4 linked regions of the Schizosaccharomyces pombe genome follow. The protein of the gene in region 1 binds, or shares a complex with, the protein of each later gene. Each region holds a gene or a part of one and is shown on either strand. Other genes may lie near its edges. The genes, in order: mrpl27, img2, mrpl15 and mrpl22.

Evidence for each region.
Region 2: mrpl27 (region 1) and img2 share a complex: the UniProt entries of both Schizosaccharomyces pombe proteins name them as parts of the mitochondrial large ribosomal subunit.
Region 3: mrpl27 (region 1) and mrpl15 share a complex: the UniProt entries of both Schizosaccharomyces pombe proteins name them as parts of the mitochondrial large ribosomal subunit.
Region 4: mrpl27 (region 1) and mrpl22 share a complex: the UniProt entries of both Schizosaccharomyces pombe proteins name them as parts of the mitochondrial large ribosomal subunit.

What each region holds. Positions count from the first base shown.
Region 1 is NC_003424.3:1,430,183-1,438,030, reverse strand, and holds mrpl27 (mitochondrial ribosomal protein subunit L27), read left to right. Parts: upstream 1-4,632; 5' UTR 4,633-4,655; coding exon 4,656-4,832; exon of another isoform or gene 4,833-4,877; coding exon 4,878-4,982; 3' UTR 4,983-5,258; downstream 5,259-7,848. Other genes in the region: ure4 (urease accessory protein UreD), read left to right, coding at 569-1,441; SPOM_SPAC3A12.08 (uncharacterized protein), read right to left, coding at 2,248-2,892; DNA-directed RNA polymerase II complex subunit Rpb11, read right to left, coding at 3,616-3,847, 3,894-3,983, 4,029-4,078; SPOM_SPAC3A12.06C (sodium/calcium exchanger), read left to right, coding at 5,376-7,607. UniProt on the Schizosaccharomyces pombe protein: Component of the mitochondrial ribosome (mitoribosome), a dedicated translation machinery responsible for the synthesis of mitochondrial genome-encoded proteins, including at least some of the essential transmembrane subunits of the mitochondrial respiratory chain.
Region 2 is NC_003424.3:584,530-592,914, forward strand, and holds img2 (mitochondrial 54S ribosomal protein mL49), read left to right. Parts: upstream 1-6,537; coding exon 6,538-6,717; exon of another isoform or gene 6,718-6,888; coding exon 6,889-7,026; 3' UTR 7,027-7,623; downstream 7,624-8,385. Other genes in the region: pdc202 (pyruvate decarboxylase), read left to right, coding at 1,068-2,783; csr102 (sec14 cytosolic factor family phosphatidylinositol transporter), read left to right, coding at 4,396-5,730; SPOM_SPAC3H8.04 (chromosome segregation protein), read left to right, coding at 8,214-8,385. UniProt on the Schizosaccharomyces pombe protein: Component of the mitochondrial ribosome (mitoribosome), a dedicated translation machinery responsible for the synthesis of mitochondrial genome-encoded proteins, including at least some of the essential transmembrane subunits of the mitochondrial respiratory chain.
Region 3 is NC_003423.3:4,359,213-4,367,502, reverse strand, and holds mrpl15 (mitochondrial 54S ribosomal protein mL57), read left to right. Parts: upstream 1-3,711; 5' UTR 3,712-3,820; coding exon 3,821-4,453; 3' UTR 4,454-4,621; downstream 4,622-8,290. Other genes in the region: arg41 (argininosuccinate lyase), read left to right, coding at 736-2,118; SPOM_SPBC1539.02 (uncharacterized protein), read right to left, coding at 2,327-3,487; SIN component scaffold protein Sid4, read right to left, coding at 4,661-6,528, 6,749-6,863; U3 snoRNP-associated protein Utp6, read right to left, coding at 8,044-8,290. UniProt on the Schizosaccharomyces pombe protein: Component of the mitochondrial ribosome (mitoribosome), a dedicated translation machinery responsible for the synthesis of mitochondrial genome-encoded proteins, including at least some of the essential transmembrane subunits of the mitochondrial respiratory chain.
Region 4 is NC_003421.2:2,022,794-2,030,820, reverse strand, and holds mrpl22 (mitochondrial 54S ribosomal protein uL22m), read left to right. Parts: upstream 1-1,686; 5' UTR 1,687-1,790; coding exon 1,791-2,540; 3' UTR 2,541-2,647; downstream 2,648-8,027. Other genes in the region: helicase Hrr1, read right to left, coding at 1-1,166; SPOM_SPCC1739.01 (zf-CCCH type zinc finger protein), read right to left, coding at 3,491-5,013, 5,122-5,242. UniProt on the Schizosaccharomyces pombe protein: Component of the mitochondrial ribosome (mitoribosome), a dedicated translation machinery responsible for the synthesis of mitochondrial genome-encoded proteins, including at least some of the essential transmembrane subunits of the mitochondrial respiratory chain.

The sequences.
Region 1 (7,848 bases):
AGGCTGCATTCTGTGAGGTTGTAGCAATATAAATAATAAACAGAGGTGAATTTACACTTCCAGTCTTCTATGTGCATTACAAAATTCAGAGTAGTACATTGATAGATTTAAAAAACTGTCATTAAATTCAGTTGTTTTGTGTTGAATCGTGCAATGAAACTATCCAAAGCATATTTTTATTTACCCTTTATAACTACTTTTCACTAGTCATCAAGGACCACCAAGCGCGTAAGAAAGTAGGTGCCGACTACGTGTGGAACCATGATTAAACTCAACTCCGAAGTATAAATGTTCCTCAGTGATATTGATTTAATGAATGATGAAGCTATTTATTCATAGGGTATTCCAACATTTGAATTGAACTGTAAAGCACACTACAAAATATCAATGTTCGAATATGAAAACACTGTAATTGAACATGCATTGCCAAATGCATTATGAGCTCATAAACTACAAAAACCAAATATTATATCTTTTCATACTTTTTAACTTAACCAAAATTCCGAAACAACGGTAATTATGGTTTCACATATTCCACTGTATTATCCAGATACTACCTGCTTTTAATATGGAAGATAAAGAAGGACGATTTCGAGTGGAATGCATTGAAAATGTACATTATGTAACAGATATGTTTTGTAAATATCCATTAAAACTTATCGCTCCTAAAACAAAACTTGATTTTTCTATTCTGTACATCATGAGCTATGGAGGTGGCCTGGTATCAGGGGATCGTGTAGCGCTGGATATTATAGTTGGAAAAAATGCTACATTGTGCATACAGAGTCAAGGAAATACAAAATTATATAAACAAATACCAGGAAAGCCTGCAACACAGCAAAAGTTGGATGTAGAAGTTGGAACGAATGCATTGTGCTTGTTATTACAAGATCCAGTGCAACCTTTTGGAGATAGTAATTACATTCAGACTCAAAACTTTGTATTAGAAGACGAAACTTCTTCTCTTGCATTACTGGATTGGACATTACATGGTCGAAGCCATATCAATGAACAATGGAGTATGCGATCTTATGTGTCCAAAAATTGTATCCAGATGAAGATTCCAGCTTCAAACCAGAGAAAAACGCTTTTGAGAGATGTGTTAAAAATATTCGATGAGCCTAACCTACATATTGGTTTAAAAGCCGAACGAATGCATCACTTTGAATGTATAGGCAATTTGTATCTTATAGGACCAAAATTTCTTAAAACTAAAGAAGCAGTTTTGAACCAATATAGGAACAAGGAGAAGAGGATATCAAAAACAACGGATTCATCTCAAATGAAGAAGATTATCTGGACTGCTTGTGAAATTCGGTCGGTTACAATAATTAAATTCGCTGCTTACAACACTGAAACTGCACGAAATTTTCTTCTGAAATTATTTTCGGACTACGCAAGCTTTCTAGATCATGAAACTCTTCGCGCTTTTTGGTACTGAACATGTGAACTCGTATTTCTTTAAAAAAAAAAGAAAAACCAATTTAATAGGGTCCATATTTTATAATTATTTGGGATATAATTGAAGCACGCTTTTAATTTTTTTAAATTTCGGTTTTACGAGTAGGATGTTCCAGTAATTGAAATCTTTTACAGAAATCTCGAATCGTTTTTTTTTTCTACTCCCTTAATTCCATCAAAGCTTCTGCGTTTTTTGAAAAATTACTTAATTATGGAATCAGTTATGTTTCGAATACAATAACCTGTTGCCAAAGTCTCGATTTACAAAAACGTGGTTAATACTCGAAGAGGAATATTTGCCTAAAGTGTAAATTGAGAATGTATCCGGTAATTGCTTATTTTTAATCCTTAATTTTTCTGTGGATCAATTGAAAAATATTAATTGCGATTGCCAAATCTTGTTTCAATGTCTTGGTTACTGTACTTATACTTTTATTCCAAGCAAATAAAAGTTTTATGCTATATGGAACGACTCAAAACATGCTTCTCTTGGCTAGGACTTGACGTTCAATTACTAACTGTTATAGAAAATTTACTATTTAGTACACAGTAGATAACTAACTAATTGGATATAGCACTTGAGACATAGATCTCAAAGAGATTGTATCTATTTCATAAAAGAGACCTTTGTCTCTGGTTTAATCTGTTAATGCAGTCACGTTAAGTAAAAGCATTTTTGGAATTGTAATCACAACAAATCCAAGTAACAAAATATCATTGTTTTCGTATGATCATTAGAAGGTTAAGGTTTGCAGTTTTAATATCATAAATGGCATTTAACAATGACTACGATTGTAAATCCAAAGCTTCAGCTAACAGCTGACTTTTAGAATTGTATAATCGTGCAACATCGTCTTTAACTCGAACGATTACCCAGTCTCCAGCAGGCACAGGCTTTTTGTAGTTTATGCTATAACTGGGAGTACGCACATCGAAGTTTTCAGTAGGAATAGGGTCCCGAGGCTGTGTTGATTGTGAATTTGCTTGCGATGATCTAAGATTCCGAACAGTCTCAAGAGACTCGATCAATAAAGTTGCAATGGCGCCCCCATGAGCCAGTTTCTGATATCCTGTCAAAGCCTTACCCATGAGTCCAATGCTGATCCATTCTTCATGTTCGGGGTCATAAAATGTTTTAAATACAGGTATCAATCCATCTTTAAAGGAAAGAAAATTGGAAGGATACTTAGATTGAAGCAAGGACGGATGCTCCTCCATTTTCATGCTGCGTTGACGTTCGCGATAAATGTTATCAATCATTTGAACAGCTTCAGGCGATTTCGAAATTTCAGAAATATGTTTCGCACTTGCTGGTAGTCGATGATATGCTGTATAGGCATCACTGGAAACAACCCAAGAAGCTAGACCGCCTACCATAAATCCCCCAATCCCTGCTAATAACAGCTTATTTTGAAATAATTTAGAGCTCATAATCAAAAATTGAACAAAGTTTCAAACTTTTCGTCACAATGTAATAGGAGCGTTTACTATTAGCGATATTCGGACGTTATAAAACTGATACGCAGATGGAGCATATGTGCAAAGCATAGGGTATCATTAATTTATGCAAGAATATTTATCGTATATTTTAAGAAAATATAATTACTTACATATCCAAAAAGTATTCTATAATAATAACTAATACAGGAATAAACAAATTTCGTAATGCAATTGAAGCAAAGCATTTGGAGAGAAAATGATGATTGTGAATAATTCAATGACATAAATTGTAATAGTACAACATTAATTAATTTATTTCTTTTAAGATTGAATGTAAGAATCGATGCTCTGCCCTACTGTAGGAAATTAATCACTTCGATTACATTCAGCAAAATTCAACTTTGAAAAAAAAAGCAATATCAGAGAATAATCCAGGTACCTAGAAAAACTTTCATCGCCATTGCTGCAGTTTTCTAGTTGGTTTATGAAGAAGCATATACAATAAAAGATCGGAGAACTTTCACCTTTTTTAAAGCATCTGTTTTCAAAAAAGAAAGAAACTTTTATTTTCCCTTTTAATACGACTTCGGTCCAAATTACAGAAGTTGCGAAAACGAAAGTCAAAATTTTTGTAATAAAGATGCATACAGAGGGTATTCTGTATTTTTTGAAACAAAACTCTAATAAATATTAGAGAAAAAGCAGCCGTGGATTTTAGGAAAACTCCATTTCAACGCCTTCAACAGATATCATTTTCAACTCCCATTCACGCATAAAATTAACTTTGATTTCTTCCAGATGAGTAATAAGGGACTTAGCAGCATCAACAATAACCTGCTTTGGAGAACAATCTTCTACGGTTTGTACACGAAGTATGAAATTGTGATTTAATGGATGAGGAACTTTGTAACCAGCAAAAAGAACCCTTTCGTCAGATAGGAGTTGACTTCGAAAAAGCAGTTAGAAAAGAAAAAAAAATTTAGAAGTCTTACTTTGCAAGCATATTAGCCAATGTATGATCCTCTTTTTCAAGAGTAACTACTGCGGCATTAGGTGATTTGCTATCGAGCTCATATGTGACTCTACACTGGTTAATGCAATTCCTTGTAAAATTGTTTATTCCTTACTTGGGGAGTCCCATAAGCTCAATGAGCTCATACCGTTCTGGCTGATTCATTATGCCAACGTTTTCAGCCGACTAGCTGAAGAAGAAGTAAGATGTTGATGCTTACGAGGGTTTTGTCCACGTTCTGTACATTAAGCATCACTATAAATCGTAATGCCATTTAACAAAAGCTTTAACACTTTATTCCACAACTCATCGTATTTCGTTATAAATAACGCGAACGTGAACGGACACTTAATATATATTTATCTGTTGGAAATCGGCTCAAACGAGTAATGAAATGGGAGATGTAACAGTATTTTTTAATAACTGATTTTAATAACTAAAATTTTTAAAGGCATATTTTGAGGCGTTTAATTGTAGATTAACCGTACTTGTTTTCATTGAACTGTGCAGAAAGATAAACAACAAGAAAGCTCATTTAAATGTTGAAAAAAAAATAGTTTTTCGTACTTATTTCATTTTTTAGTTTCATAATGTAATTCGTTTGTTCGTTTTAAACAAATATTTTTATTGTTTACATTCTATGTTTCGCTTTGACTGTTACCTTATACCGTTACCTTTTCTTTTATGACGGAAAACGCGCCAACTTAAACCCTCCATTTACCCAAATCGAGAGTTATTCAAAATGCATCAATCATTATTATGTTTTGGAGCAAGACGCTTGCCAATGACCACAAAGTTGGGTCATCAGTATTACAAGGGTACAAGAACTGGGAAAATGGGTCAAAAAACCAGGCATGGAGGTTTTCTTGTCCAGTGGTCGCGTGTTCGCACGTTTGTGCCTCCTTCTGGTGATTGTGAGGTATGTTGTAAATTAATGAATATTGTTTTATATTAACTTTCAAAGCTTTTGCCTTTTGTTTCTCGTCGAATTCAAGCCACTAAAGGAACTTATCCTGAAGGTGCAAATGGGTTGGATGGAGCTGTGTATTTTGATCTTGCTCATAGCTAGTATGTTTATCAGCCTCATTCTTTATTGTTTTGAAAAATTTTGGTACCCTTTTCAACTGTTGCTTTATTCTATCTGTTAATGATTGGGCATACACTTTGAAAGGAGAAATTTCTACGTTACGATACCTTATGTTGCGTTGACTGTTGTTATTTATTGTTTACGGACACGTATATTTATCGATATTCTGTTGTGACGTTTGCTTCTATTAAATATACTAGTTACATTCTTACTTTTTCTGCCAAAATTGGGGGCAATCTTGAGTACTGCGCATTTATATATTTATTATAGGATTAGTCTTTTTCATCCCATCTATCTTAGAAAAAAAAGGGCTGCTAATACCTAGCAATGCGGTTTAAGCATGGATTTTCTATATCTTGGATATCAGGTATAAAAATGTCGAAAACTTCATGTTTCTTGAAGAAATACAGACTAATATTACTTTGGTGTATCCTTGGCATTGCCTACATTTTATTCTGGACTCATCGGATTAGCAAAGCGTTTGCTTCAGTATCCTCGACTTCGGACTCAACCGTCCATCTTTTTGAGCGCGGAAATACCTTAAATGATAGCAACGACCAAATTTTACTTACATGCAATGATATCAAAAACATTACCCCTGCTAATCAATGTCGGTTTGCAAAGGCTTACTGTAAGGGAGAGGCTAGTGGGTTCTTTGATTACGTTGAATTTTATTTTTGTACCATTAACAGTCTCCGATTCCCAGTGTTATCAATAATTGTGGGATGGCTGATTTTCCTTTTCATAACTATCGGAATTTCTGCTAGTGATTTTTTTAGTACCAATTTGGTTACTATTTCGTGGCTACTTCAATTGCCCGATTCTGTGGTTGGCGTTACTTTTCTTGCTTTAGGCAATGGATCTCCTGATATTCTTAGTACGTTCGCTGCTGTACGTGTCAACAGTGGGGGAATGGCTATTGGGGAACTTTTGGGCTCTGCATTCTTCATCGTAGCCATAGTTGCTGGCAGCGTATGTTTAATAAAGCCATTTAAAATACCTCGGCGTCACTTCCTTCGGGATGTTGCTTTCCTTACCGGTACTATTTTACTTGTTATAATGTTTGTTTTGCATGATGGTTCGTTGAGTATTTGGCAGAGTCTCGTAATGATACTTTATTATCTACTCTACGTTCTTTTCGTCTTTTTCTCTGGTAGCTCTGGTGTTAGCGTGGTAATCACTGATGAGAATTATTTGCCTGTCTCCCTTCCAGTCTACTCACCGGTTTTAAATTCTTTCGATGACTCGGATTCCTATAGTAGCACGGATTCTGAATTATCCGAAGAGGCATTTCTCTTGCCTGCCCAAGCATCTAGAAAGACCCAAAAAATACATTACATTAACGATAATGACCCTTCAAATTCGTATTCCTCATATCAACATTCCCATGTCCATGATTTTATTCACAAAAACAACACTCATTCTAACCGTGTGCTAAGTCAGTCATCGGGCCCCATTGTGCGTCCTTCGTTGCTTGCTGCTCTCGACTTTAGATCTTCGAATGAGGAACAACATCCGGGATTACGCTCACTTGATCCATTGAATATTCAAGACGGTGATCTTACTATGCATCCTATGCATATTCGCCATTCTCAAAGCGATTTTTATCCCAGTGGAATTAACACCCCTGTGAGTGGAATTAATTATCCCAATTTGGGATTTAGCGCCAATAATAGCGTGCAATCCCTTGTTTCTGAAATCTTTCGTCACCCAACTCACACTGACGAAGACTTTCCATTACCCTCGCCATCACTTAGTTCTTTGCTTTTCCCTACTTTGCGAAATTTTGCCAAAAAATCATGGTATGAGAAGTTAATGGACGTCTTAGCTGTTCCATCTGTTTTAATATTTACGTTAGCATTGCCTGTATATCAATGCCCGCGATTGGCAGTTGATCCCATTTATCATATGGATGTATCTAACTGTAATCCATCAAAACCAACATGGTCCCGTAAACTTCGCTTACTACAATGTGTGTTCGTTCCTTTTGCCTTTGTGACCTTTTCCATCACAGGCGGGAATCGTTTATATATTTATGCTGCATCTTCTGTGTTTTCTATTTTGTGCATCACAGCTTTGTATTATTATACGGATGAAGAGAAACCTCCAAAATTTCTGCCGTGGGTAAGCTTCATTGGATTCGTATTAGGTATAATATGGATATCGACTATTGCGAATGAAGTCGTAGGTATTTTACGAGCCCTCGGTGTCATTTTCAACTTGAACGAATCTATACTTGGACTCACTGTTTTCGCTGCTGGTAATAGTTTAAGTGACCTCATTGCGGATATTATGATCGCTCGTTCTGGTTTTCCCGAAATGGCAATGGGTGGTGTATTTGGAGGTCCAACTCTGAATATTTTAATCGGTATTGGCATTTCAAGCTTCTATTCAAGTATCTCCAACCACGGAAATGACAGTGTCATTGAAATACCTCATTCCTTGTCGATTACTGCTTATTTTTTACTTGCTTGTTTGTTGCTGTTGTTGATCTATGTTCCATTAAACAGGTTTCGAGTTAATCGAGTTTTAGGACTTTTACTTTTCATATTATATATTGTTGGGACTTCTACTAACATAGTGGTTGAGCTACTTAAAGACAAATGAGCTGATTTACGTTTATTATTTCTCCTAATGACCAAGACAAGTTTCACTAATTCACTTATGGAAGATCATGCTTAACCCGGAACTTCAAAATTATCCCCTCTTTTTCGTCAATTTTATTTCTTATGTTTGGAATGCATTTTATTTAATTCGTTTATCCATTCTGTCCCAAATTTATTTGAGTTGATTACTTTTGGAGCATTACTACTTTTTTTTAGTTTAGCATTCGTCTTCTATTAAATGC
Region 2 (8,385 bases), 840 kb from region 1:
TTATTAGCGTTACCTGCCCTCTTAAATGTACACATCATGTGGGGGTGGGGGAACCAGTGCTGGAGATCACTTCTTGCTATACCGTTTGGCTCATGGCAACTATTGAGGATAGCAAGGAGCGTTACAATTTGCAAATCAATATGATAAACAGAAAAACAACAAGTTGAAGCTTAACACTGTAGCAATATAACAATGAAAAAAATAATCAGAATTAAAGCAAGAAGCCTATAAATGGTCCATCAATTGTGAAATCGATATTGCTAGATGTCAGGCAAATCGTGAACTCGGTTGAAAAATGTCGTTAATATTCATGTGAAATCATAATTACAGCAATATGTTCAAAGACTTTTGGATACTTTATAATAATGAGGATTCTATTTTTGAGTGGTCACATGGTCTCGTAACCATGAGGTACGCCTTACTTTTACGGACGAAACAATATTTCACATTCAGCTCTCAATGTTAAGTATCCAAACAAACATGGTACAAACCAATAAAGCATGTAAATTAATAAGCTTGAAATAAGGAATAGTCATTAAATTCAGTTTAGACATAATGTAAAAGGTATCAATTTTGTCTTTGGTATAGATACAATTAAGAATTTCGAGACGGAACGTTCGGTGATGTAGAGTTTTCATAATAATTTCTGCAGTTGCTTACACTAACCGAAGAATCGTCCAGTATAAACTGCTGACGATGCCTTAAATCAATAATTGCAAATTGCATAGTTGACGTTTTCCCGGGTGGCACATAGTGAGATTTGAGTCGAATAATGAAATAGCCTCTGACGAGTGGTTTCGTACCAAGAGTTTCAAAAAGAATAATCCACATTAACTCAATGTATCATTGATGACGGAATGTTGCTTATATAGCCAGAGTAACCCTGCTCTGAAGCATCTAAGGTTATATCTTTTTAACTTTTAGCTAGCAAACTCACTTGTTCCTTTAAGTTCAGAAAGTATCTGCTGGTTATTCAACAGATAATTATCTTGCGAAAAAGGAATACACACTCAGCATTGTAATTTGTTGAGTATATTTCACAAGCACATTAAATTGCATTATCAAACATGAGTGGGGATATTTTAGTCGGTGAATATCTATTCAAAAGGCTTGAACAATTAGGGGTCAAGTCCATTCTTGGTGTTCCAGGAGATTTCAATTTAGCTCTACTTGACTTAATTGAGAAAGTTGGAGATGAGAAATTTCGTTGGGTTGGCAATACCAATGAGTTGAATGGTGCTTATGCCGCTGATGGTTATGCTCGTGTTAATGGTCTTTCAGCCATTGTTACAACGTTCGGCGTGGGAGAGCTTTCCGCTATTAATGGAGTGGCAGGTTCTTATGCGGAGCATGTCCCAGTAGTTCATATTGTTGGAATGCCTTCCACAAAGGTGCAAGATACTGGAGCTTTGCTTCATCATACTTTAGGAGATGGAGACTTTCGCACTTTCATGGATATGTTTAAGAAAGTTTCTGCCTACAGTATAATGATCGATAACGGAAACGATGCAGCTGAAAAGATCGATGAAGCCTTGTCGATTTGTTATAAAAAGGCTAGGCCTGTTTACATTGGTATTCCTTCTGATGCTGGCTACTTCAAAGCATCTTCATCAAATCTTGGGAAAAGACTAAAGCTCGAGGAGGATACTAACGATCCAGCAGTTGAGCAAGAAGTCATCAATCATATCTCGGAAATGGTTGTCAATGCAAAGAAACCAGTGATTTTAATTGACGCTTGTGCTGTAAGACATCGTGTCGTTCCAGAAGTACATGAGCTGATTAAATTGACCCATTTCCCTACATATGTAACTCCCATGGGTAAATCTGCAATTGACGAAACTTCGCAATTTTTTGACGGCGTTTATGTTGGTTCAATTTCAGATCCTGAAGTTAAAGACAGAATTGAATCCACTGATCTGTTGCTATCCATCGGTGCTCTCAAATCAGACTTTAACACGGGTTCCTTCTCTTACCACCTCAGCCAAAAGAATGCCGTTGAGTTTCATTCAGACCACATGCGCATTCGATATGCTCTTTATCCAAATGTAGCCATGAAGTATATTCTTCGCAAACTGTTGAAAGTACTTGATGCTTCTATGTGTCATTCCAAGGCTGCTCCTACCATTGGCTACAACATCAAGCCTAAGCATGCGGAAGGATATTCTTCCAACGAGATTACTCATTGCTGGTTTTGGCCTAAATTTAGTGAATTTTTGAAGCCCCGAGATGTTTTGATCACCGAGACTGGAACTGCAAACTTTGGTGTCCTTGATTGCAGGTTTCCAAAGGATGTAACAGCCATTTCCCAGGTATTATGGGGATCTATTGGATACTCCGTTGGTGCAATGTTTGGTGCTGTTTTGGCCGTCCACGATTCTAAAGAGCCCGATCGTCGTACCATTCTTGTAGTAGGTGATGGATCCTTACAACTGACGATTACAGAGATTTCAACCTGCATTCGCCATAACCTCAAACCAATTATTTTCATAATTAACAACGACGGTTACACCATTGAGCGTTTAATTCATGGTTTGCATGCTAGCTATAACGAAATTAACACTAAATGGGGCTACCAACAGATTCCCAAGTTTTTCGGAGCTGCTGAAAACCACTTCCGCACTTACTGTGTTAAAACTCCTACTGACGTTGAAAAGTTGTTTAGCGACAAGGAGTTTGCAAATGCAGATGTCATTCAAGTAGTTGAGCTTGTAATGCCTATGTTGGATGCACCTCGTGTCCTAGTTGAGCAAGCCAAGTTGACGTCTAAGATCAATAAGCAATGAGCAAGCTATTGAGAGTGGAATTGGCAAACAAAGTTTCCTTTGATTTATATGTTTTTTATGATAAGCCCATTCAATTCATATAGTCTTTTAGTATAATGATTAGTTATTAAATTTATGTTTAAAGCAACTTTTTAGTTTAAAATTTTTCAAGTCAAGTTAGGGTGTACGTAAACAAACAATACCTTGGAAGCAATGAATGAAAAGGTAGAGTTAATCCAAACAATGTGGAAACCAGTTTCCTTGCATCTACTTACTAGTTTCGCAGAAAAATTGCTAAACTGCTTAAAAGCCAACTTTAACATTCTTATTTCTTACATAGGAGCTACCGTTCCATTCACATTGTGATATGCTAAGAATTTATTAGTTTTACAAAAATTGGGTGATTCTACTATTTAATACAGTGGTTTTGTAACGTAATGAAATTATAACGCTCGTTTATTACGATTTCCTAGGTAATGTAGCGGGTAAAGGCAATTGACTGATATTATGTATCACTCTATCACAGCAACGGACGAACGGTTTGCGTTGTTGTTTATAAATGGTTCTGCAACGCAGCTTCTGACTTTGACACTCTACACCACACCATACTTCAGCGCTCTATTCTTTCGCATAGGAAGGTAAGCTGCATTTCGTGGCGTTTGGTACCTTGAAAAAATATATTTTGGTTAATATTCGTTGGCTTTTTCTTTTAATTCTTGCTACTAATTCCAAGAATTGTGTAAGTATAGGAAGAGGCTGTGTTGATCGGTTAGTTTCGTAATTTCGGCATACTAGTGATTCCTAAAATACCGACTACTAATAATTATAAAGCTTAGATCACTTCTTTGGCTAAAGTAATTAAACCAGGAAGTCTTAAAATTCCGCTTTTTAGCATCCTAAAAATTTCCCCGTCATTTCTCAAAAGTGTTAAACGCGTGAATGTTCTCAAAGCTCTGTTTTCTTTTCTTTGCTTTTTGAACGGCTTTGTCTTTGCATTAATTTTTGTGACGCGTTTTGTGCCTCCAATAGGTAATTAATCTAAATCCGTTTAAAAAGTTGTAGGTGACTTTTTATTTTATTACGTTTTGCTTTCATAAAAAAATCCATTTCCTTCTGTGCGTTGCATATTCATTAATATATCACTTTGATATACATTAAGGTGAATTAGAAATTATTGAGCTCCTCTCCCTTTGTTATTATTTCACGCTTTTTCTCAGGCCCACTTATAGTCCTCTGAGGAATTTTTTATCTTTTTTTTTAAAATACCAACTCAGTTTTTGTCGAGTGATTCTTCTTTTTTATTCATTCATTCGGTTAACTAAGTTCCCTATATTATTTTGTTTTCTACTACAAGCATTACGTTTTGTTTTTCAGTGAGCTTGTTTCGCATCTCTGACCAAAAGGAAGCAAATTGACGGCTAGTGTATTTTTGACTCGTCACATTCTTTTGTCTATCTTTGCCAATTTTTCAAATTATTATATATCTTCGAGATTAACCTCCATTCTTTAGGCTTATTCTCGTAATTTCCTTCTCAATTGAGTTCAATTTTATTAATATTGATTTCATCTGATATATTTTTTCCTTGGACTTTTTCTAGATTATATTTGTTTGCGCGCAATTTACTTATTAAATATGCCTGAAGGAGCCGGTAGACCGTGGAATCTCACAGAACTTGAAGAAGAGAAGTTGAAGACTATGTGGAGTTATTTGTTTAAGCTCTTCGGCATTACTTTACTCGAAAGAACTGAATCTTGGTACACAGTGAAGACACACTTATCTGATGATTCAAGTAGTTCCTCATCACATCGTTTAAGCAGCGTCTCATATGCGAAATCCCGTACACGACTTGAACTAACGTCTTCATCTCATGGCTCGGACACTCGCAGTTTTAATGATAAAACCAAAAATGTGCATTTGGAAAGAGTTGAAAAAATTGCAAGTGAATGGGACCCGGAAGGGCTTAGAGTTTGCTTTTGGGATGCTGTTAATTGTGATGATCCTGATGGCCTTCTACTTCGTTTCCTTCGTGCTCGAAAATGGAACGTTGAGGCTGCGTTGGAAATGTTCATGAAAACCGTTCACTGGAGAAGTAGAGAGATGAATGTTGGTGAAATTGTATGTAACGCTGACCACCTTGATAAAGATGATGATTTTGTGCGTCAACTAAGAATCGGAAAGTGTTTTATATTCGGTGAAGATAAACACAATCGTCCAGTTTGTTATATTCGCGCACGTCTTCATAAAGTTGGTGATGTCTCACCCGAATCGGTTGAGCGACTCACAGTTTGGGTCATGGAAACTGCTCGTTTAATTCTCAAACCTCCTATTGAAACTGCTACTGTTGTTTTTGATATGACTGATTTCAGTATGTCCAATATGGACTATGGGCCATTGAAATTCATGATCAAGTGTTTTGAAGCACACTATCCCGAATGTCTGGGTGAATGTATTGTACACAAAGCGCCTTGGCTTTTCCAAGGCGTTTGGTCCATCATCAAATCTTGGCTTGATCCAGTGGTTGTCTCAAAGGTTAAATTCACTCGTAATTATCGTGATTTGCAACAATATATAAATCCTGACAATATTTTAAAAGAATTCGGTGGGCCTAATCCATGGAGATATACATATCCAGAACCCTGTCAAAACGAAGCAGAAGCTCTGAAGAATGTTGAAGCTCGTAAGAGTCTTAGAGCAAAAAAGGATGCAATTGCTAAACAGTACGAGGAAGTTACAATGGATTGGATTTTGAACAATGGTGACATGGCAGAAGTGAAACAAAAACGTCGTAAGTTAGCTTCACAACTTATTGATGCATACTGGAACTTGGATAAATACATCCGCGCACGCTCAGTTTACGACCGCATGGGCCTAATTGCTCCTCAAACTTCCCATACTTTGCTTCTTTCTCAACCTACAAATGGAGATGTCAAAGAATCAATGGTAGAAGTTACTAGCTCGGCAACTTAGTCGGTCGTAACTTTCAATATTCCTGCTATTTTACATTGTAATCCTTCCCCTTGCCTATACTCCCGTATACTGACTAATTGTACTTTCCCGTGTTATTCTAAATAAGATGCTGGCTCAAAATATGATTGTATCATCTATTAATGCATAACTTTCAAGATCTTTTATATCAATTAGTTACATATGAAATCTCTTTCCTACGTTGATTTTTACACCCCTTTTCGTTTTACCATTTCCTTATCGCTTTAATTTTTTAGCACTCTCTTTAATGCACTTAAAATCATCTAGAAAGGGATAACTTTTTTTAGGTCTTATGGCTTTTCATTGAAGTTGTTGGTCGCAATACTTATCCATCCATTTTGTCTTTATTAGAATCAATGATCAGTTTTATTTGCAAATTAACTTAGATTTCTTGCTATTTATTATTATTTTTTATTTTATTGTAGGAAAGCGGTTCGAAATTAAAAAAAACAACAAGCTGAACACCTAAATGCCTACTCCAAAATATAGTATTAATTTAATGAGTATGCACCTTCGCTGAAGTATATTCCGTGCCGTAAAAATACTTTCGAGTTTAAACACGCGTGAGGTTCAAGCACCGATTAAATTTATTTAAAACAAGAGCGTTTTATTTTATTTTAATTGTTCTTAGTGAATCACTTAATCTTAGGCTCCTGTTTGACAGTTGTTTAAAACTTACAAATTTTTGGAGGTTATGATAGAAATCCTCTTTATTCGCGAATGCACGACGACTTCTTTTACACATCCACCATAAATTCCTGCAACTCGTAGAAAGTTTTGTTGAACCAAATGCGATCATCCTTAAAGCCAGTGCTATCAAATTTGAGGTTCAACTCAACAATTGCATCCGAATCACTTCGGTTTCATGTTTCACGTACACCTTCAAAAAATCTCCCAGTCTATCTAGACTACAAACAACGAGGAACGAAAATTCTGACTTTAATTCGTAAAATCCATGGTGATTCTAATGTAAGTATACATATTCCGTCAGCAGTAATCTCTTGGCTAAAGAAAGTACAAGTAAAGTCACTATGCTGCGGAAATTGTTCTATCAACTTTTTGCTTTAACGGCCAACCCAAGTTTATTTTAACTTCTTTTATTCGTTCTCTTTTTTTTTTCTAACAATATTTTATCAATAGGCTTTGCGGCTCAGGCTCATTTCCACACTTAAAATGTCACCGAAAGATGTTTATGTAAACAAGTTAACAAATCAAGTTGTCCTAAAGGGAAATCACATAGTCACAGTTCGTGAATGGTTACAAGACCAAGGTTTTTAAGTTCCTAGAATTTTTCCTTTTTTAGATTGTTACTATGTATGTACGTATCCTTCTTTCAAAGGAATGATAAAGTTGCTTTTTATCAACATAAAACTCTCGAGCATATATATCAATTTGGCTTTTTAGCATATTACTTTTACTTCATCTCCTTGTTACAGCGGTGATAATGTCAAATAAAACACAGCTGTTGCAAATAATTAATCTCGATTCATTTCTTCTCATCATACGTGGTTTTCAAACTTGACAATGGAAAAAATGCATCTTTTGTGATGGTTTTCCTTAACTACCTTTAAATAAATAGTTATTCGAGCTTCAGTAGAAACATTCAAGAGGTACTTGCGTAAAAAGAAATTCAAACATCTGCTTAATGTGAGGCGTCCAAATGCTAAATACAATCTTTTTTTTGCTACCTATTCGTTTGTTTTGTTGAATTTATAAACGCTTAAAGGAAATTATAATATATATATCGAAACTCCGGTGTTTTTATTTTTTGACTGTAGTTATAGACAGAATACGTTTAAGGCTATTAGGGTATATAACTAAATTAAAAATTCTTTTCTCAATATTGTATAGTTTGTAAATTGACAAATATTAAATGCTATATCGAAAACATACCTTCAAACATAATCTATATATCTGCGTCATACGCCCATGGACTGTTCTTTACCTTTCCCTTCACACATACTTATAATCCTGAAATCTCAACGACTTTTTCATTATTTTTGAATTGAACTTGGATTTGTCTGTGATAGGAATATTTTGACAAACATTTTTAGCTTTTAAAATTTTTGCTTTGTTCTGAAGACGTTGATTTACAATTTGCTTATGAATTAATTATTCACGAGAAGAAAATTCCTTGTAGTTTATCCCTTTTTTATTGGTGATTATAAGCTGAATAACTCTTAATGTTGGGAATTATATTTTCTTTAGTGAACTGAGGCTTTCTCGAAAAATACTTACGGTTATCCATGATTTAATGATTTTCTGTTTTTTTTGTTATTTTTTTTTCGTTTATCAAAAAGTGGTTAAGCATTGACACGATATAAGGCACTTTATTTCCGTGTTGAATTTTTTGTTTTGTTTTTTCTTGACATTAATACCTTACTTTCCTTGAATGCGAACAAACCGCATTCATTTGTATTCGATTATCGAAAGCCTTTTATTCCTTTTCTTTTTCTTTTTTATTAATGCCAGCTTGTTATTGTGCGACATCAACGTCTCTTGAAAATAATGAATTGCTATACAAAAATATTCGAAACTTGTTCTCTACTAGCAGGAGTTTTCCAATCGAACAAGAATGGATGAATTTGAAATCGATAAGTCAGATGAAAGACTTTTTTTCAAACTTTCCTGGTAATA
Region 3 (8,290 bases), on another chromosome or scaffold:
TGTACTGTTATCACTTTATTCTTCGTTGATTTTCTTCTTCTTTATAATCCCACTATATTTGGTGGATTCATAAACTCGGTTGGTCCATGTTTATTTTAATTGATTTTCGTTAGCTATCTTAAAAGAAATTGGGCGGAAGATGCATCATAATGTTTAAACCAGTTTAGTCTGATCAGACACTAGTAAAAACGAGAAAACAATACTTATCTACCAATGAGTTTTCAGGCATCTATAAATATCGTTCTAATAAAAATCGAAAAAACAATCACAACTAACAAGAAAATCTTTTAAGAATTCTCAATCTTTATAACAGTCAATTTTCTTAAATCTAAGCTAATGCTCGCGAAATTCTTTGGTAGCTCTGAGTTAATAAATCAGAAAGACAAAACAAATCATTCAGGTTGAGTACATTTATACAGTAAGATTCCAACCAAAGCTTCCATATATGATATCTTTTGTAAACTTAAGGAAAGAAATAACGAAGCGGAATGTAAACATTTATTAAGTGTTTATACGTTCCAATACGTTAGATCTTATTATAGCGATTATAATATCAATTTCATATCTATCGCCGTATCGTTAATGTGATATAACAATAGGTTGCGATAAGGAAGAGGTTACACGGTCATATAGCCATACTCTCAAAAGATTAGATAAATTAAATTTTAAGTAGTACTACCTCCTTTTTGCGTTGGTTGAAAACTTGAAAAACTGACTCTGTTTTAACAATTCTGAATGGCTTCTTCACAAAAACTTTGGGGCGGTAGATTTACTGGCGCCACTGATCCCTTGATGACAGCTTATAATGAGTCTATTCATTATGACAAGCGCATGTTCAATGCCGACATTGATGGCTCGAAAGCTTATGCTAAGGCATTAGAACAACGCGGAATCATTAGTGCTGATGAATTGGATAAAATGTTAGATGGTTTAGAGGCTGTCCGAGATGAATGGAAGACAAATAAATTCACTCTTCAACCTTCTGACGAAGATATCCATACTGCTAACGAGCGCAGATTGGGAGAAATAATTGGTACAGGCATTGCTGGTAAGCTTCATACAGGAAGAAGTCGCAACGATCAAGTTACGACCGATATGCGCCTTTGGCTACGTGATGAGTTGGACATCATCCAAAAATCTTTAGTTGGGTTACTCCAAGTTTTTGTTGCTCGTGCAGAGTCTGACCTTGATATCATTATGCCCGGTTACACTCATTTGCAAAGAGCCCAGCCTATTCGCTGGTCCCATTTCTTATTGTCTCATGCCTTTTCTATATTAAATGACTTGGATCGCTTGAAACAAATTTATTCTAGAGTCAACCGACTCCCTTTAGGCGCTGGTGCACTTGCTGGTAATCCTTTCGCCGTAGATCGTAAGTTCTTACAAAAGGAACTTGGTTTTGAAGGGGTTATTATGAATTCAATGAATGCTGTAGCTGACCGCGATTATGTTATTGAATTTATGTTCTGGGCTAGTATGGTAATGACCCATATTTCCCGTTTGGCAGAGGATCTTATTATATATTCTACTTCTGAGTTCAACTTCGTTACCCTTTCCGATGCTTATTCAACTGGAAGTAGTATTATGCCTCAAAAAAAAAATCCCGATTCTTTAGAACTTCTTCGTGGAAAGTCTGGCCGAGTTTTTGGCAACATGATGGGCTTTATGGTTTCGGTTAAAGGGATTCCTTCAACATATAACAAAGACCTCCAAGAAGATAAAGAACCGCTTTTCGATTCTTCCAAAACTGTTTTGGATTCCATTCAAATTCTAACCGGAGTTCTTTCTACTTTAACTGTAAATCCAGAAAATATTGCTAAGAGCTTGACTGCGGACATGCTAGCGACTGATTTGGCAGAATACCTTGTGCGTAAAGGTGTTCCCTTTCGTGAAACTCATCATATTTCCGGGTCCGCTGTCCGAATGGCCGAGGAAAGAAACACTACCATTGATAAGCTAAGTGTTGAAGATTTTAAATCGCTACACCCATTATATGAAGAAGATGTTGCAGATGTTTTCAACTATGAATCCAGTGTGGAGAAGCGTTGTGCGATTGGTGGTACCGCTAAGAGTTGTGTATTAGAACAAATCCAAACCATTAAAAAGGCCTTGGAGTAGATAAGTTTACATGAAATGATATGGATATACTTACTTTTTCTATATGTTCGTTTGATCATTTAACAGGGCTTCCTCAACATAATTCCCCGAATCGAGGTTTTTTGGTGTAAAACGGGCAAATAAATAATTGTAGCCTCATAATAATATTTTAAAAACACGTAACTTAAATCTTAAATCGTAAATATTCATACTGAATGAAGTAGTACTTTTAACCTTTCGTCTTTCTCCTTTTAACATTATCATCATCGTCAGATTCCCCTAACTCGTGAATATCTGCTGTATCGTCTTTTGATAATACAAGCCCGAAACCTGCATCAACAATTTGTCCGTCTTTTCCTTTCTTTCGCTCTTCTTCTTCTTTGCGTTCCTGAACTTTGGCAAGTCGATGAATTTGAGACATAAAATTCGTAGGTTTAAGATCGCTATATTGATTTGTATCAAAGACTTTCTTATGATAAGGCGCATCCAATTCATGATGACCTTTAAGCTGAAAAGCATCCTTCGCCTTCAACTCAGCAGGCTCTTTATCATTTTCATGAAAAGGATCATATTCTCCAACCTCCTCGAAAATATCGAGCTTCAAATCAACTGGTGGAAGTGGTATATCATGCTTAACAAAGCTTTTCCCTAAGCTATTAGCGTTCACGTTTAATTTCTCGGTTCTATGTTCATTTTCTAAACGTTCATTATCATTTTTTAACTTTTTTTCCTTCTTCACAAGCCGTTTTAGGATTTCACCATTTTCATCAAGCAAATATTTAACTTTTTTTCCATTTTCCAAAATTTTACGATATTTCGGTTGTCCATTAGGATAAAGAGGTATCTTCTTTTTTTCTTCTAGAATAGAAACAGATTCAGGATGTGATGACTCCTCAGCAACTTTCTCTAAAAGCTTGTCTGCTTCTTCGTCAACTTCTTTCTCACTCGAAGAAAGCAGAGAATCATCCAAGGCTAGCTCATTAGAGCGAACTTTTTCAAGCAATTTTCGATCAAGACCACGCACGAGATGAGTTGTATTCAAATCTCCGCCTAATTCTTTAGATTTTTCTGAATATTCTTTTGTCGTAATTTGGCCATTGCGAAGTTTCTCGTGCAATTTGTGCAACTCAATATCCTGTTTGGAAGAAGGCTCTTCATAAAATTGAGTATCTTTCCCTGAATTTTTTGCATTAGAATGTCTCGTAATGTCTGACGATGTAGAATGACTTAGTTGTTTTCTTTTAATTAGGGCTCTGGGTGCTTCCAATTTGGCCGTCTTATGTTTACGACCAAAAACAAGTCGCTGACTTTTATTCGATGAGAAATTTTTTAACTGGGAGGTTTCGGCTTTTGGAGTAGCTAAAAGCTTTCTGAAATCATCTTGGTTCATTGTGACAAATTTTCAACCAAAACTTCAGTATCCTTTCAATTAATTGTTTCTTTGGAATAACTTTGTAGTAGTTGTTTATATACACTTAACAGTAAAACACAAAATAAATTGTAAATTATTGAAACAGTTTGATAACATTAGCATACCTTGACGTTCGTACACTGTGATCTCAAGCGTAGTGCGCTATTTTACTACTTCGTAATCGGCCAATGTTTTTTAAAAACAACCTATATTCTAGTTGCAGAAAACAGATATCTTTTCTTTCGAAAAGTTGATTTTCCATACAAGGGTTTGAGGAACTTGAAGCTCTTTCTAAGATTTTATGCCATCCGTATGTTAACAAGACATTGTAATCGTTTAGGACTTCAAATTGAAAATAAATTTGTGTTCAGATCATCATCATGGAATTGTGTCCGTCGAATTGGGAAAATTGCGTGTAATGAAAATAAGTACAGATATGAAATGACATCTACAGAAGAAGACATTGACAGCTTTTTCAGTCGTGTTTTTGGTGAAAAAAATTACATCTCAGACAAATCTCTAAGAGAACAAATTGTAACTCATAAATCTTATAAACATGGGCTGAAAAGATATAATGAACCTTTCGTTTCGGTTGGAAATGCAGTTATCGATGTTTGCTTACTTAATCATTATTTGGAATCAGGAAACTTTAGCACAATACCTTCATACAAGGATTTAGTAAATCTTCGTTCCCCTGCTCGACTCGCTGAAGTTGCAAAAAAATGGAATCCTGAAACTGCCACACAATGTATTTTGCCATTAAAAGGGCCTAATTCTCCATCTTCGTCTAGTTTTGAAAAGATATACAGTAGTATTGTTTCCGGACTTGTTGCTGTCGTTTACTTCCAAAAAGGCGGAGTTGAGGCTATGAATTTTTGTAAGAAAAGCATCATATCAGATTTGACAAAAGATTTCGTGAGACCTAATACCGTGCATAATCAATAAGATGTGTAGCAGCAGGATAAAATTCTTTATGCAAAGGATGCCATAATATAGTACATTTTGCCATACGCTTATTATTACTATCGATTTATTTAACGCCTCTTTCATTCAGTCAGTAGTTAATAATATATTTCATATTTATCAACATTTGTATAATATAAGCTGCATCCCAAAATCTTATTGATCGAGTTGTAAGTCATTGGCATCCATTCACAAACTACGTTTTTTAAGCTCCCTTATCTTTTTCAGCATATCTGCTAAACACTGTTTTGAAACCAAACCGTCACGCATATTCTCCTCGTATATTAGATAATGGATATTTCGTGCCCATTGGTAGAGTCTACGACCTTGTTGCAGCTGGCGTCTGACTTGTCCGATGGTAGAAGGAAAAATTGCAAAAGGGATATTTAATTGGACCAAAACTGTTTTCAACATGTTGGCTGTTTCAACACTACACTGTTGATCTATATGCTGAAGGCCTAGCCGATAATAAAGTTGTTTTTCCTTAGCCAGATTAAATCTAGAATCAGGCATATTTAAGGAAGTAAGAGGCTGTGAGGTATGGAAAGTAGGGATGGTAGATGAAGCAGGTGTTGAGTAGCTTTTGTTCTTTTCGATCATTAACTCACTTTCATCTGACAATTTTGCATCAAGATTATTGGTATTAATAACATTTCTTATATCATTTTTTGCAGGGGCTGTAGACCCGTCATTCAGCATAGTATTCTCCTTATTATTTCCTTTGTCAGTAGTCTTTGTGGTTATTGCATTTTTTGAGCTTTCATTTGATTCTTGATCTCCATTTTGAGAAGTATGCCGAAGAATTTGTATCTCTTTACGGGCTTGGGTAAGTTCCTTACGCAAGTGCTCAAATTGCAAAAGAATAGCATCAAGTGTTGATAGCTGAACTCGTATTTCACTTGGAACCGCAATTTGAGATTTTTCATTATACCTTCCGTTGCCTTTAAGGTTAAAATCATTGCTAATAGTAGCAGATCGTACCTGCTTCGTATCAGGTTTTTGCTCTTTAAAGTCTTTTGTGCTTTTAGGGAATCGTTTTGGAGGACAAAGTGGAGTAGAAACAGTTGTTGACATTGTTGTGGGACAATAATCCTGCTGATTCATAAGCAATTGCTTGGTTATATTTTCAATCTGTTTATCTCTTTGTTGGCATTGATTTGATAAGGATTGTATTGTGGCATTCATCTCCAAAACAATATTAACAAAAGAAGGAGGTAAATCGGTAATGGCTTGTTTAAAAGGATCGATGTCTTGATCATTCGACGACATCTGTTTATTATTAGAAAGATTTTCCTGAGCCTTTTGACAATCCGTAGATTGGATAGGTTGACTAATAGAAGAAACACATGTAGATGAAGTAAGAGGATAGCCAGAAGGCGGTACTGGATATGACTCTGGTACAGTTTCCAAATGAACATTCCGATTTTGAAGCTCCGGCTGTGAGAAATGTTGTTGTGGATAACCTGAACTCAAAGAAAAATTAGGCTCAGGATTATATTGATTAGGGCGAGTGACTGGGGGTGGTACGTTACGGCTTGGTGGAACCTGTAAACTTTTTTTAGTCTCTTTAGATTGCTGATTAAACACTTCAGGGTCCAATCCATCTTGTTGATTAGGAACACTAATATTATCTCGTAGCTGTCCTTTTGGACTTTGGTCATAAGAGCTGGTGTGTGATTGAGAAGGTGGAAATGAAGGTGAATTGGAGTGCATATGACGAGCACTAGGTGAATCAATCACTTTCGGGGCGACATTCTTGTAAGGTGTACTAGTATAAGATGCTTTCTCCGAGTTAAACGAAGGCTCATGATGTCTTTGAGCATTTTGACTATTATCACCAAGTTGATGACGCGGATCCAGAAATAAGTTGTTTGAACCTGGTATTTGCTCTAAAGGAAGTCTTGTAGAGTCATTGGGGTTCGAAATTTCTTTTTTGGTGTTTTCTTTAATCGTAGTACTATTTACGCCATTAACAAGCTCACTTATTTGTTCATCGTTAAGTCCATCCAACAATTCAGCTATTCGATCAATTCTAGCGGTACGAGACGGATCTGCATCTACATAATATTAGTTACATTTTCAGTTGACAGACTTTTCGAAAAAGTATATGGACGTTACAGGTGAATACCCTTCAAGCCAAAATGTATGTCATAAACCAATTTCCCTCTTAAAATAGAAAACATTTAGTTCATCTACAGATGGAAGAAGACGGCATGAGTGTAATTACCCAGTGTTTTCAAAAGTTCACAATACAAGTTGACATTAAACTTTACCTACCTTCGTCAAGGGAGTCAAAGTATATACTGTCACCCGCAGATGGATGACTATCAAAATGAGAATGACCTAACCATCGGTAATCTGTACTCAAACTATCACCAAAAGCCTCATCCATTCTAAAACATGATTAAAAGGTTTAGTTTGTGAGTAGCTGACTTAAAACTAATATTGTTACCCAAGAGTGTAAGTCACATGCTCGAAATGTAAATAAACACCAGATAATAACAAAAAGTTGTTAACTAATTATGAGTATATAAATCATTCAAATGTATCATTAATTCTTGTAAATAAAAAGTTTTTCTATTAGAGTTACTAGAAAAAATGAATGAATTTGAAAAAGTGTAAAGGCAGACATAGCCCAAATCCGAACTTCTTGAAAGTAATGATTCTAAAGCCATTATATTTTCTAGTACTTAAACTTTAGTTTAATTTTATATTTATTGGAATTATTTTTTTTTCTAAAATACTCAAGTGCCCATAATCACTGAATTATTTTCTTTTTATTTGTAATAACGCAGCAAATATTTTTCCCAAATCGAGTATATAATAGAAATGTATGCGATATTTTTGTTACTGCAGTATTAATTCTATTTGTTCTAAACATTGTCCATAAAATTCTTTAAGATCACAGCTTTTTAATTCCACAATAGGTTATTTCTATTTCAATAGTTTTACTGGTTTCGTTGTCAATGAAATCAATAGAAAGCCATGAAGTGATTCACAACTTGAAAAAAATTTGTCTTATATTAAAAAATAGCGCTACAGAGCCCTAGTGCCCAAGCATAATCCATTATTTCCTTCGTAATTGCTTTTAAGCTATATAAAAAGCCATTTAAGTTTGTAAGGTTATCTTCAGAAAATTATTTGATAGTCCTTTGATATTGAAAGATTGATCATTGAGCTTTAACGAATGATAAGGATTGATTTTTAACTACAACATTGAAACTCTTCGTAGATCAACTAATCAATTCCATAATAAAGTGGGGTTCTAATATTTAAACACTATTCAAAGATCATATATAATAAGCTCTCTGACACTCTAAAAGGGTATATTCTTTACAGCCGACTATTAATAATAAAAACGATCTTTTCAAATGCGTCAACAATATTCATCCAGACTAAACATTTTTTTTACGTGATGTAAATGCTTATGCTGGTACAAAAGTTAAAATTACACGAAAGGAAACCAAATTTTTATTAAGTATTAAAAAAAGCATAAATCCCAGACAAAAAATATTGTACCTAATTATATATACATCTGTACCGTTTAACCCAACATTATGACTAGACCCGTCTCAAGATAGTGTTGCGTTGCTCATAAACGTTCCGCTTTGAATTTGAGCTTCCTTATATATTTCTTGCAAAGAATCATCAAACGTCAGTATTTTCAGCTTTTCCATTGATTGAAACGCGTTTATCACTAACATGTGTAAAGCAAGCGCAATAGAGCTTTCGGCGGCTGATGACGATGATATCGCATGCAAAGTTTTAACAAAGAACGAGTAAAATATCTTTTTTGTTTTAAAAGGGATTTGAAAGTCT
Region 4 (8,027 bases), on another chromosome or scaffold:
GAGAGTCTCTTAGTCAGCATGGACTGGTAAGCTTTTAACTGTGACGAGTCTAGTATATACTCGCCAGGACCGAACGGCTCAAGAGCATTTACGATTTTTTGAGAGTTATTTTTTAAGATAGAATTTATGCGTATCCTAGGATTATTTTGTATGTGTTTAGCAGTCTCCTGATTACTTTTACAGTGTACCAAGTAATCCTTCATCGGGAATGTGCTAGCAGAAAGCCTCTGTAATGAACGAAGAACATGCTTGTAAGCTTCCCAATAGCCTGAAGTAGCTTCGATCATAACATATTCTTCTCGAGGATCTAAAGAGATACTAATATCTTCAAATTTGACATCTATTTCATGAGGATGTTTATTAAGGCCACTCAAGGGCCGCGCACAGACAGTTCCAATGCGAAAAGTCTGGAAATCATCATTGCTTAATAAAACTAAAGATCCACTGATAAGACGACGACTGGTAGCCCATTTTATTTTTTTCTTAGCGCGAACACTGAAGGATAATTTTGCAGCTATAACACTGGAAGATATTGTATAGCCATCTATCCGCACATGATCATATACGGCTAACGAAGAGCCGGTAATGTAATTGGGGTTTACCTTGTACCGAAGCACACTTTCTCGTAATGGGGAAACTGCGTCCTCACGTAGCAACCGATAGTGTATAGATAAGTAATCTTCAAAGGACTTGTATCCTCCGTATATGTTGTTTGAAGGTAATTCAACACTCTTTGACGTCAATTCTTCCAACGTTGGAATTGATGGTAGTTCCCGCCAAGAAGAAGTATCGCTTGCGGGATGGTGTTCGTTTTCGAATTCTCTATTTTTTCCCGATGTTATATCATTTCTCTTTACATTACTCAATTCATAATCGTTGTCAATGCTTCTCTTACGACGTATTGACTTGTTTTCTTTTAAATTTTTATCAACTTTGTTCCCCTCCGAGTCTTGGGTTTTGGAGGTTTCAGAAGTCTCGATTTGTTCTGTGAAACTCGTAGTATTATTATCGGCGTTAAAGATGTTGCTATACAATGGGTGTCTTTTCATTTCACTTAAAGTTTCTGGCTCGGGGATTTCATCAAACACAACTTCTGTATTTTTGTTCACCATTTCCCAGGCGTCCAGCGTACTTAACTTCCAAATTTCATCTTGTACTTGTTCCATAATAAAAAAGAAAAGGATAATATCCAAAAAATTTCAAAAGGTTATTGTACTAAAATATCTCAGTACGCGCCCACTAGGTCGTAATATTAATCTCGTCCTCCCCAAAGAAGCTAAAAGATATCATAAATAACAATTCATGTACAGTCTCTGCACCTGTCTCTAATATTATTTGTCTAACATACAAATGGGTTGTTTGTTTACTGCCAAGGGCCGTTTTCTGTCTTTACGTGACCATGCATTTAACGCGTTCAGATAATACCCGCAATGTGCAGCTTAGTGTGCCAGCATAAAGCATGTAAGCATGTGTTAACATCGTTGTAAAGTTACCTTATCGTAGTTTATCCATCCTTGAAATAGATTTACAAACTGAGTAGCTTGCATAGTGATAGTGAGCTCTCTCATTTAAGATTTTTATAACTGTATAAGGAGGGAAATGCTAACTGACCTATAACATAGTACAGTTAGCAATTCGTTAGGTTGCAATTCCTATTAGTACCACCTTGGCATGTAATATTTACCTGGTTTTGTTACAACATTGAGAAAGCGCATTTGCTCAAATTAGTCGAAAACGTTGACTTCTATGTGTGGAAGGAATATTTGGGAAAAAATTTTTAAGATTTAATTATGAAATACATTAATCAATTTATGAAAATATCAAAGGGCTTTTTAGTTCCATCGTCCACGATAGGATTGAATTCTAAAACGTACCATTACAAATTTCCATTACTTTCTTTTGTTAGAGAATTTTCAAATGGATCCTACTTAAGGGAGTCTGCACAAAATCCTGCAAATTTGGGTTCGCAAAAAGGGTCCGACATTTTCTCAATGCTTGCTAACCAGAAGGACGATTCTAATCGTCAGCAAAAGGAAGAGCGTGTAAAAGAGAGACCAAGGTCACGTATTTCTTTCAAAAAACAGGAGACCATGGATCCTTCCTACACCTTACAATCAATGGTGCTTCGCTCCTCTTTAAAGAAAGTCGGCGCTTTGTGTCGTCAAATTGCCCATAAGCCATTTTATCATGCTTTACTTCAAATGAAAATGTCAGATAAAAAAATTTCCAAGTACATCGCAACTGCTTTGGTTTCTGCTCGAGAAAACGCTGTTCGTGAAGCTGGTCTTGATGAGAGTACTCTCTACGTTGATCAAATATGGGTTGGAAAGGCAAAGTATTTAAAGAAACTTATCACTATGGGCCGTGGAGGTCGTGCCATTGAGAGATCTCCACGGGTTCGAGTTACTGTTGTTTTAAGAGATGAGCGAGCTCTCTTGCGCGATTTACAGCGTCGTCAACAAAGACTAGAAAGAAAGAAAGTTTGGACGCCTCTGCCTAACCGACCAATATACCTAAAATCTAACTTTTTCACTTGCTAAGTCATTATTGAGATGCCCATATCTTTGATACTCTAATAATATTTCCCCCCAATATCGTTTATAGTAATTCTAGTGCCGTTTTTTTTTTATGAGAATATGGTTTCCCTTATTATTTATTTCTTTAGCAACGCCATAATTTTGTATTTACCTCTATGGTGCTGATGGTATCAGTAGAAAAATAGTACTGTAAAAAGGTAAACTAACCAACCTGTACATACATCACTTTTAGTTCAATGATACGTTTTCGTAAAGAACGCAATTCTTTTTAAACTGTCTAATCTTATTAAATCATTCATGCAATCGTTTGCCTCATTAACATTTTTCAAATTTGGTTTGAAGCATTGCAACGAGCTTCTTTTTTTGACTTTTCAAAACGTGCTTTGGACCATATGTTGAAGCTATCCATATCTCTTCACCATTTTGACACATATTTATTGGTTCTAAATTCATCAGACACTTTTAAACAATCAAGCAAACCGAGTATAAAATATCATTAATTCCCCAATTATTAGGTGTAAAGGTACGCTGGATCCGCATTTTAACTCATTTGCAGTAGCAAATGATCAGTAGGAAAAAAAAGGAAACAAACCGCATCAAATAGACAGTAATTCTTTTTAATGGGCCATAATGAAAAAATAAGTTGAGATAGTAAATGTATCAACTATATTAACTTGAACCACAACAATGAGTTTTTTTTTTTAAACTGTGGGTAAAAATTAATTTAGAGAAAATCAGTGTTTTCATTTAAGAATGTTTGGAAATAGAAAAAAAAATTTCGCATATTTAAACAAGACGTTTTGCAGGGTCATATGTTGCTAACCCCAATTTAAAAACATATTGAAAACATGCGATAAGCACAGAGAAAATAAAAAATATGATAACTATCAATAATAATGCATAATTTAATAAAACATTTCAAGCTTTTTGTAAATTTTTCGACGGCATTCATTTTAATCATCCATTTGGAATGGCGTCTCTTCTTCCACCGTACTATTCCACGGAGGAGAACTATTAGCAACGGTTATACGTGATACGCTATTATTGGTACTCACGACAGGATCATTTTTTGTATCACCAAGACCAGCGATGGTTTCCGGAGATGCTGTATCACTTCTAAAAATAGGCTCGCTCTTCAATCGAGCAAGACTCACAGGTCTTGAACCTTCAGTGGTTGGCGAGCTGAAGACGGCCTCTTCACGAACACTAAAACCTGAAGGTAACTTATAAGAGTTATTGACACTAGTGGCTAAGGGCGTGGTAGACATTGAACCCGAACCTTCAACATAACGAGACTTGGAGAAGTATGCGCCGAACCTACTACTGTTTAACGAATTCATAGTAGAGCTGGTCCGAGTACTTAAACCAGGACTTTTCAAGGAAGAAGTGTACTGCTTAAAGCTTGAACTTAATCGATTGATAGGTGATGAGCCCAAAATGCTTTCATCAAAGCTTCCTAAAGGCGTACTTAAAAAGCGCTGCTCCTCATCACTAACGTCCATTTGATGATTCAAATCTACTTTAGTGGGCAAGCTAGCACTAACCACTGAAGGAAATGCGCCAGCATAGGAATTACTACGAGGTACCTGTCGTCGTTGATTTATTCCCGAGCCAAGTGATAAGTTGCCAAGTGATTGATCGAGTGTAAGTCGAGGACGGGATAAAGAAACACCGGTTTTGGGAGCAAGAGGCGGGCTTTGTAATGGTAGAGATGCTTTTAATGGGTCTTGGCTTGTTAATCTAGATAAGGAAGACAACGTATCAGTGGAAGAACACCTATTACCATATGTATTCAGTAGAGTAGGACGACGAGAAAAGTAATCTCTATTATTCTCACTCGTCATCTGCTGAAACAACAACCCCTTACTTCCGCCAAGATTGGTAGACGAAGCACTAGACGCAAGACTGAAAGACGTTGGTGATGTTGCCAATGGAGGAGAAGCAATGGGAATTCCATTCAAACTAGAGGGAAATCCAGAAGAGCTATTATTAAACTCATCCACAGAGCGACTGTTTACTCCAGAAGACAAAAAGTTTGGCGTTGTCATCATACCATTAATAGTGGAATTGCCGCTATGCCTGCCAGGAGATCTCGAAAATGGGAAATAGGGGGATGTGGCAGTATTACCTCTAACATCTGTAGCGGTTGTGTTGTTAGCCTTATCTGCCGGATTTTTCATCGTTTTCGAGGACAGCGAAGGGGAAATCTGATTAGCACCCATTTGTTTTGACGCAACAGAGCTTGCTCCACCATTAGCAGCCATTGAGGCCATAGTATTTGTAGAAGTTCCATTAGGTAAATTTGTGTTGCCAGGAAGGGCGTGTGATAAAGCACATTTAGGACCAAATTTGCAATTCCCTTTCAAGAAGTATTTACAAATTGGTCGTTCTGTTTCTAGAGAATGGCTAAAAGGGCAGTTTTCGCCTGCGGTACAAGTTCCATTTCGGAAGAACTTACAAGGAACATGTTGTAAGTCTAAATCAAAGTTAGAAATTATGTAAAAATAAAAAAAAAATGTTACATATATACATATATATATGCGCATAACATAAGTTTAAGTTAACAAATTTTGGAAAAACATACTTTTTACAGTGCTAACACCGTTTTCTGGAGTATTTTTGGGCAACGTTGATTTCGCGGATTTTTTTTGGTCAAGTAAACGAGGATCGCTTCGTTTGGGAATTGCGGATGATGCAGCAGACATTGAGACAAGTTAATTTTAGTACAAAATGCAATTAAAGAGTAGAAACTATCGCTTGAGTATTTTGGGGATTACACTTTATTTGCCTCAGACACACAGAAAAGTGGGTGTTTCAAAATGAATCCTTGCAAGAAGAAAAAGACAATAAACAAAAAAAAAGCAATTCAAGTAATTAAGAGCAAAAAAGTAACAAAAAAAATCAAAAGAACCACTCTTCACGAAAATAGCAGTATTTGAATTACTAGTGTTCTTTTTTGTTATTGGGATATTTACCAAAAAAGAAAATTAAAGGAGGAATTCAGGTAGACGAGGCACGTTCGTACTTGAAAAAGAGAAAACAGGGATCCGTCACTGAAAAGTAAAGATTAACAAAATGGAGAAGATGAAAAGATAAATTAGTAGAGTAAATGGGATCAAATTAGTAGAAAGTTTTAAAAAAACAAAGAGGAGAGAAATGGGGGATGGAAATTTTTAAAGAAAATTAAAAGATTGTCTTAGCTTAAGAATAATAAATCAGCAAGAAGATACACAGATAGTCAACAATCACAGATGCGTGCTAATGGAAATCGATGCACTAGTTTTGAGGGAGGAGAGAGGGAAACGAAATAAACAAAAAAAATGTAGATGGGAGTAAAACGGGAAATTTTTGGGTTTCTTTTTTAGTAACAGCAGAAAAAACCGGGTAAGTAAAATAAAAGAATAGATGACGAGAGAGAAGGAAAAGCAACAACAGGTTAACAATGCATGCACCTACCCACACAGTCGAACGATAGGAGATAAAGGGTAAGGAAAGAAGGAGGGAGGGGGATTGTTTAAAGTTAGGGACGTCGAGTAAGTGAGAATAAAGAAGACAGGATCCCCAAGGTGCAAAAACCAGCTGGGTTCACTTAAAAGCAATAAGAAGACAAAACCTTAGTGTGAAAAGAGGAAACTTTAGGAAGAAATTGCGCAACTAAACTCCTTTTTTCAACCAACTGAAGATAGCGATTTTCCAAACTGCAAGAGTAAAGCCGATAAACCTCGTTCACCGACTATCCTCAATTTATAGTCGAATTGAGCTTTCAGCTACACCTTCCAGCGCTCTTAAACCACCTTAAATCCTTTCTTTTTTCAGTGAACGGTGAGTAATGTAGTTGGCTGACGGTAGGTTGATTCGCAACATGTAGCATTCACATCTTGTTGATAGCTGCAAAGTGGCCCTTCAAAACATAAATCATTCAATCTTTTATTTAACAATTAAAATTGTAATCTACAATTCCATGTAAAAACATAACCCCTAATGCATAGAAAATGTTCATCTAATTTCGTCGAAGCTTGTCGCCATTCAACTCCTCATACGCCCATACTTAAGGGCCAGGCACGTATCGCATCCCAAATTTGATGTCATATCAGACAAAGAAATCAAACACCTCAACAAGCGAGATCACAGGTAACAGCTACGGCCTCCAGGTAACAGGCTTTTCACCCGCGGAGGCGACAAGATAGAGATGCGATTTGCGCCGAGATGAGTGTAAAACAGTATTGCTAGAGTGAACGAGTACACAGATGAGAGTGGAAATTCGCATTGTATCACAAAAATTATATATTTTGATTTCGAAATAGGGAATTATCGGGATGCGCTATGCTGCAAAGAAAAGAAGAAATGGCGCATTTGCTTGACGCTTTAGTTGTTCAATCACCACATCGCTGATGAAACAAACAAGTTGAAACAAAAAGCGATCCCAATAAACAATTCAAATTTCCATTTTGCAGTATCCGATTAATGCGACCATTTGTGTAATTGCGGGAAATTGCACTGCTACACACTTGCATGTATTTTCTCATCATAAACGGGATGGCAAATTAACAGGGGAACAGGAAAGCGCAATAAGCCATGCAAAAAATGAAAAAGGATAATGAAAAAACTATCATAGTAGCCGCTAACAAATTGCTTCTAGTAAAAGTCAAACTTCTTCACTAGCATTTGTAATGTATCATAGTTATAGTACTATCGAATTGTTTAATGGCTCAATTACTACCGCTCCAATTTAAGTGAAGGGAGGAAGAAACAAATTGAAAAATAAATCATTAAAGAAAGTAATCAATCAATTATTCAATGAATGAATTTCAATTAGTAAGTGTTGGCTTACTGTATACGATATAATCTTTGTATACCCTAGCACTGCTAACTCCATCTGCTTTTTTTCGGTTTCCAACCGGCTTTTTTCCATCTTTTTGCTTTTGTCCTAATCTATTCCTATGAAATTGTTAAAACTCAAAACTCAAAACATGAATTGATCTGGCACATCTTTCCTTGCATCTTTCAAAATTACTATATTGCCTCAGTACGGATAGGATGACGATGCCTAATTCGGTACAAAAAATATCGTATGCTGTTAGCCTTCCGATATTTAACACCAGATAACTTGCACACGGTCGGAGCTCGCCTCTCCACATTACTCGGTCTTTAACTAATTTTTATGTTAAAGATTACGGTCAGATTCTTGAAGCAATTTCGGAAGAGTCCTTATTTTTATTTACCAACGCCAAACCCAGACTCGTTTAACTTGCACAATTTTTTTTTTTACCATGTCTTTTGCTTTAGTTAGTAGGCTGTATCAATAGCAAACTATGTCTCTAGCAATTGTTCGGTAAACTATACGTACTACGTGCTACCTACCAAGTTTTGTAAACCATTTGAACGATGCAGTAAGACTACGGCGAGTTCTCCTAACTTAGTATATAATGCTATATGGGTTGTTTGCCTTGTACAATTATTATCTAGTTAAACATATTCAAATTATTAAAG